Astyanax mexicanus: one gene and its partner. The protein of the gene in region 1 interacts with the protein of each later gene in a biochemical or structural test. Links are inferred from orthologs where the notes say so. Each region holds a gene or a part of one and is shown in the gene's direction. Other genes may lie near its edges.

What was found.
Region 2: the proteins of TATA-box-binding protein (region 1) and gtf2f1 form a complex in vitro, tested with the Homo sapiens proteins (3 studies listed by BioGRID, with this or other methods). The link is inferred for Astyanax mexicanus from reciprocal best matches to the Homo sapiens genes TBP and GTF2F1.

What each region holds. Positions count from the first base shown.
Region 1 is NC_064414.1:38,662,273-38,665,872, forward strand, and holds the start of TATA-box-binding protein, read left to right. Parts: upstream 1-1,483; 5' UTR 1,484-1,633; intron 1,634-3,600. Other genes in the region: zgc:153169 (N(4)-(Beta-N-acetylglucosaminyl)-L-asparaginase), read right to left, coding at 224-332. UniProt on the Homo sapiens protein: The TFIID basal transcription factor complex plays a major role in the initiation of RNA polymerase II (Pol II)-dependent transcription.
Region 2 is NC_064426.1:8,389,168-8,393,003, reverse strand, and holds the start of gtf2f1 (general transcription factor IIF subunit 1), read left to right. Parts: upstream 1-871; 5' UTR 872-1,067; intron 1,068-2,404; 5' UTR 2,405-2,458; coding exon 2,459-2,470; intron 2,471-3,836. UniProt on the Homo sapiens protein: TFIIF is a general transcription initiation factor that binds to RNA polymerase II and helps to recruit it to the initiation complex in collaboration with TFIIB. It promotes transcription elongation.

The sequences.
Region 1 (3,600 bases):
TAGAATAAAACAATAATGGTTATTTTACTGAAACATATACCTATAAATAGCAAAATAAGAGAGATGATTCAGAAACTGAAGTGGTCTCTTATTTTTTTTTTTCCAGAGCTGTATAACATATCTATAACACAACTGTTTATTCATTGCTTAGAGGAGAAAGTGTTTTAAAACTCATTTTCTAGTGAAAGCACAGTTTTAATGTAGAGGGTTTAATGGTGGTTACCTGCAGCTGCTCTCTCTACTACATCAGTGGCGTTCTGTCCGTCTAGAATCATAGAGCGCATTTTCTCTACAGCGGGCTGAGAGAAGGACCAGGTCCCCATTGCTGCCATCCTGCGGGTCACTGTCAACCCCTGATCAGACTTCACCTCCACAGCAGATGAACGAGCCGTCAGTGAGGAGTTTTAAAATACCTGGTTGATATTTTGAAGTATTACCAGAGAACTTCAATAGAGGAGAATACCCACTTAATCCACAATAACAATCATACATGAGTTTGTTAGACCACATGAGGGCGCTCACAAATGAGCCCAAAATGAATGGCTCCATGGAGTAAATGAGCAAAACCATAGTTAATAAACGTTTGATCACTTTAATACGGAAAACTGTATTATTATTCTCAACACGGAACAATTTAAAATGTTTTAAATACCGAAAAAATGGCTTTAAAGCTTTTAAATATATTTACCATTCAGCTCACAGTGGTAGAAATGCCAGCGTCTCTATTATCTAAACATTTTTTGCTATAGACAAATGGTAATATTTCTTTACTAACGTTTTCTTTACTTTTTTCTTTATTTTTTAGTAATATACTTCATTCTAAGTTCTTAGTTAAGTTCACCCCAACTCACTCGCGGGGTCCTCTAGCGGTTCACAGTAATTTTCTGACATAACGTGGGCGATAGAAACTAAGCAGTCTCGGCATAAACTATCTATCTCTGGTAGTACCGCGTTAGGGAGTTAAGAATCGAGAATTTCAAAATAAAAACTTAATAAAGTCTTAACTAACAAATAAAATCTTTAAAAAATTAATTCGTGTTTTTTTTATTTATTTATCAATATTTTTTTAGAACTCATAAGTAATAAATTACATGTATAGTGATCGATAGAGAGTCGTTCATATTTTAATATTCATGTAAATCTTTGGAGGTTTAAAAAAAAAAACAAGTGAAACTTAACTAAAAATCTTCGTTTTTTTAAACTTCATATTTTATTTTTATTATTGATATTGTTATTATTATTATTCGTATGAGTCGTTTATATTATATGTAATATATATATATATATATATATATATATATATATATATATATATATATATATATATATATATATATATATATATATATTTATAGGCAGTTTTGGGCAGTTAAATTGTCGATTAGAGTAGTTTATATTTTATTTATATTATATATGTTTATTTTTTAGGAGGGGATATATATATTTTTGGGAGTTAAATGGTCGATTAGAGTCGTTTATATCATATTTATATTATGCATTATATATTATTTTTGGGAGGGTGGAGGTTAGTGCTCGTATTATATAAAGCAGCGGAAGTGGTTTGGTAAAGCTGGCGGAACTTGCTGTGAAGTCCCGTGTTTTGCGCGCACCCGGAGACACAGAGAGAGGGGAGGTAAAATCAGACGCGGGTTTAATCTGATTTCTGAGTGTTTTAATGATTAACGGGTGTATTGTAATATTCAGGGTCTCCGGCTGCCCCTTCTGCCGTGCTGATACTGTAGCGGCTGGTTGTTCCAGTGCGGGGGTTAGTGTTGGAGCGACGACAGGCTACAGTTAGCACAGTGAGCTAACCAGCGGTTTCTGCAACCTGGACCCAGCCGAGCCTCCGCTTTATCTAACCGGGGCTGCCTGGAGTCTAACGCGCTGTCCAGCTGCAGTTTGGGCTGCGTGATTAGTGTAGTCTGCGGGTTTATATCGCTGAGTGGTTAATTAATATATGAGCTTTAACTCTGGTTAAAATCAGTAGCTGTATATCCGAACAGCGCCATTCATTCACTGTGACCTGATTTCTGTTCAACAACGCTTCTTACAGGAAAAAAATTCGCTCTTTCTCATTTGCTTTTCATAATTAGCGTTAAATGAATTACACTTAAATTCTGCGAGCTTTAATTCGCTTGTATGTTCATTTAATAAGAAAAAAATAGCTATTGGTTTTGATACGTTTGCAGGTTATTGTAGCTAGTGTGTTTACATTAGCTAAATTATCTAAACATAATTACAGAAATATACGAGCCTCAAGCGTCTCTATTCGTAATATTTTAGCAATAGGAGAAACAATCCAGTTACACACATCTAGCAATAATGAAGTTTTTAACCAGTAGACATAGTAATTCAAGATATCTACACTGAAACTTGCTGATGTGATTTTTAAGACTAAAACAGCTCCCCATACCAAAATAAATGTATTTTTGGATATGATGGAAGGTCCAGTTGTTAGTTGTGGTTGCCTGTCTCTCTCTGCCTCTCTATCTCTCTCGCTCTCTTCACGGGGCTGTGAGATTGTGAGGATGAGTGAGTGTTATTGTGGTAATGTTTGCACTTAGCGGGAGAGTCTGAAAGGAGCTCATTGGTACTCTGTAAACTTCCTGAAACCCACATGAATTTTCTCTGATCTGACACACATTGAATGGATGTGCTTTTAAACAAAGTTGTCTGTTATTTACATTCATTACTCGGGTAGACGTATAGATACTAGGGATACTAGAGAAATATAAACTTGAAGTATCTGTGCCACAGAGTCCTATAGTGCACTACCCCCTCAAACAAATTTATCTATAAAGCAATAATGACTCGTATTAAAATGTTAATGTTGACAAATATGGGATGCATTAGACTGCCTGTTTCATCCACATATATGTCAATTGAAAAAATGAATGCCTTTTAGTATTAAGCTAATATAATAAAGGAGCTTAGGTGGAACATTGTGAGAGCTTGAGTTCTTGCTGGAGTATGACTTGATGTGCAGGTGTGATGGATTGTAAAAAAACAGGATTTCGGAATGTTATGCATGTACTTCTCATCCAGCCACAATCAAATTTACTCTATCCACATGGAGGAATTTACATGGATAGGGTTTTTTGAAAGATGAGAAGCTGAAATAAAAAGCTGAAACTAAGTAGAAGTAATGTTTTTTTTTTTTAATGAAATTGAGAGAGAAAAAAACATACAAAACCACAATGTAAAGGTATTTATTGAAGACAGAACATTTGTAACATCATAGCAAACATACCAACTAAACTCAATATGGTTTGGTATTTATTTGGAAGAAATTATTGGTATATAAAATTCCATTCAGATGCTGCTGGGCACGAGCATTACCATCTACTGTGCTGTTTTCTTTGGGTGAAAATGCCTTCTACGGTGTGTTCCCAGTACACGTGCTGATGTGGATCGAAGAATGTTAAATACCATTACAACGTCATAAATAAAATGTCCCATCCACCTGGCACTAACTATCAGGCCCAGCTTGAACTCTGATAATTATTGTTGCCTTGCCATGTGCATGCTGTGATGCTTTACATTTAATATTTGACTGTGCTGCTTGATCTACTGTCTTCTAACTGCTTTTCTTTTCTTTTT
Region 2 (3,836 bases), on another chromosome or scaffold:
TATTAAACTAAGAACATGGAAATAAAAAAAACACAATAAAACAAAACTTATTTGATAAATAAAGAAATAAAACAAATTCAAATTTTAAAATAATAAAAATGTAAACTCACAAGCTTTCTGATTCAGAAAACCTGACATTAGTTTAAGTTTCAAATTGTGGAAACAGCTCACCAAAACCTCAAAATATCTTTTATATTTGACAATTTTTAATTAACTTTACAGGTCCTTATTCATCTTAAGTTTATTTAATTGAACTGAGTTTTATATTATATTTTATGTGTGTGAGTGAGATAAAGAGAGAGAGAGTGCCTTTAGCACAGTGACTGTGTGTCTGCAGTTTGAAGGAAAAAACAGTAGATGAAAGTAGTAGATGGCTCAATAGGTAGCTTGCTGGATTAGAATTTGTGCTAATTTTGAATTTGTCAGCTAGCCAGCCTAGACAGAATAAGCGAGCATTAGCAACAGAGTTACTAATTACTAACTAATTACACTTAATGCTTTTAACTAACACATGCACATGCATTATTTAGTTGATTAGATCTGTTAAATATTAAAAACGCATTTTTAACACTGTTACACTAGCGTTTTTTTAATGCTTGTCATAAAGAAAATGGCCACAAAATGTTGAAACTACATATTAAACTATGGTAATATAGTAATTATCATATTTTTTAACAAGGAAAATAATCAAGCCCTAGGTGTTACACTAGAAAAGAAGGGGTAGGGGTAAGTGGTAGGGCCATGGGGTGAAATGAGATTGGGCCTAATTGTGCAGGCCGCTGCTCCAGACCACCAGGCGGCGGTGCGAACCCACCGCTCCACGCGCTGCTGTAGCCGGGAGAAAGAGCTGCTGGCCGGTCAGAGCTGTGCTGCAGGTCGGTTCTGTGAGCAGCTCCGTGTCTCTTTCTGTGTTTCTCTCGCGTCGCTTCGTTTCTTTTAACACGATTTTTTGCTTCTGTTTTAGGAGAATTTTGCTGCTGCTGGTGTTGAGGTCAGCCTCGGCTTTGCGGGAACTGAAGGCCGGGATTGTTGAGCTTTTCGCCGGGTAGCGGCTGCTGGAGAGTCCGGTGAGTTTTCAGCGGATTATTAACCTGATGAGTTTTAATAATCCTTAATGTGCTGCTGCGGAGTCTCTTGGTGTATATATATATGTACAGCTTTATTCTTTATTTACATGTCGTTTATCAGTTAAATAAACCGGTACACACATTAAGCTAAATACAGCTCATGTTTGGAATAAGTTTGCTGGGTTAGTGGTTGTGCTGTATTATTTCAGTATTTTATATGCTTTGTTTTTCTACACATTAGTTTGCTAGTTAAGTTAAGCCTCTACAGCATAAACCATAAAAACAACTCCAATGATTGAGTGTTTATTTGTCATTCTGACATTTACATTTTTATTTAATCCTCTATGGCATGAATTATATTTTTGGGAGGAAAAAAAAATCACACCACTGTTTGGGAGATCTTTTCTTTGGGATCTTTTTCAGTCATGATGACTCTAAAAAGGTAATCTACATAATACATAAAACTTAAAAAAATAAGACTATAAAAAGCCTCATTTTATTGGATGTAGATATGTATATTATATATAGATGTGTATATTTAAAAAAAATAAGTAAATAAGATATGGTATTAAACATGGTACATGTAAGTGTATGTAAAAATGACAATATTAGTGAAACAGAATTAAATTATTGACAGAAAGCAAACATGTACAATTAAAAGGGGGCTCAAGTACCCTGTTAGGATGCATACAGGTTTCAGCTTCAGCCCACAAATGTTCACAACTTCCATCGGCCACTCTGGCAAAGACATTTCTGGGAAAGCCTTGCTATGCATGGACGAGCATTATCCTGCTGAAAATGCCTGTTGGAAGCCCTGCCATAAAAGAAAACATGTGATCCCAGGATGGTCTGCACATATTCTTGAACTGTTAGTGTCCTTTGTATCACTACTAGGTTTGATATGAGCAATTACTGTATTTAACATGCTTACCACAAGGCCTCTATTCAAACCTGACATTGTCAGATCCTTAACAGAACCTGGATTCCACACTTAAAATTATATGGTTCAGGTCTAAAGCAGTCCAGGTTTCTCGTCTACACCACCACTACACAGCAAGGTGACTGGGGAAGGGAGATGGACAGCCTGAATGGTGTGAAATTTGTCAAACTGAGCAACCTGCTTTTTTCAAATGACTAAAAACTGAGAAATACAATAGCAGTATCCAAAGAGTTTTACCTTTACAGTGCTGTGGAACAGTATTTACCTCTGAATTTGAGAACATTTCAAGCTGTAAATTACATTTTTAAAACATAAGTATTGAAAATGGGTATTTCATAGGATTAAACAGTGATTCTACAATTTTTAAATTCTAATAAGTCTTTTCTATACTCATCAGTTGGTGACGGACAGCACTCGCTTCTGAGAGAACGACAAGAGGAGATCTGCCGCTATGACTTCACTGGTAATGAGTAATTTATTTATGTGAATGAAATGGTGTTTGATAATGATAAAATAGTTGTAAGCTAGGTACATATTGTTGTCAGAAATGTATATGATACTTTTATCTGGCAGCATATTTGTAAACTTTGTGTTATAACTTATGTCAGGGACCTATGAGTCATTGCAGCTTTGGGCACAGGCTTTTAGTCACCACCACCATAAAAAGATCTAACTCCAGCTTCTTTCAGTTTCAGTGGTGATTCTGTATTTTGTTGAAAAGTGTGTTTTTGATAATAATTTTTGTGGTTGCTCAAATCCTTTTTTACACTGTCTAGCTGTGAGGGGTAGCAGTGGACAAAGTACACACACTATGTATTTAGGTTAAAGTAGATATACCCAGGGGTAGCATATTACTCCAGTAAATGTTAAAGTTTCATCTTTATAGCAGGAGTCACCAACTCTGCCTCTGGTGAGCACTCCTTAAGGTAGAGCTCTGCAATAATTCAATATTTATGTATTGCGATCTGAGATGTTTCAGTAACTATATTTTTCTGATATTTTAATGTACATTACTAACCACACCCATCTCTTATAATCTGGTGCCTCTTATACAGCTAGATAATATCGCCCTGGCTTACCAGAACACTTAGGGTTCCTCAGTGAAGCGTTTACAGGCGATTAGCGGCTATTGATAATGCTGCTGCACCCAGCCTTAGTGGAAATCTAAGCTTACTGTTAATAAACGGAAGCACATTACTCACCCAAATGATCAGTTTCTAAAAATCTATGTAGATAAACATCCAGTGCTAATTTGATTTTTATTTTATAAAGAATTACAGTTTTGTTTATCTAACTTTGCTTGCTTTACATGTCTCTCCACTGGGTGTATTAGAAGGAAAACATGGCAACACCCCATATCCTTACTAGTGTCGCATAATGCGTCATAATTAGGTGTACCTTATGGATGAAAATAGACCAGAAAATTTATGTTTATTTATAGTGCGCCTTATAATCCGGTGCACCTTTTATAGTGTAAAAATACGGTATTTGTCTTTAAAAAAACTTGAAATTGAAACTCAAATTACTATAAGTTTTATGGTTTATGATACAACTTTTGTTTAATAGTTTTCGGTGAAAATCTAAATTTTATTGAATGTTACGAAAACACTTCTAGTCGTTACTGCATACAAGCAATGTTCATGTTTAAATTGTATTTGTGACTTATTCACAAGTTAAAAGTTGCTGTAAACACGGACCCACAAATGAGTTTCCTTTACTATACTTTATTTGTGTATTCTAGAAGTTTCATCATTTATGTTGGAATAGGTACTCCCAACATAGTTAGGAAATTAGCCATATGCTTTGCTTATCTTAAATAAAAAGGTAAA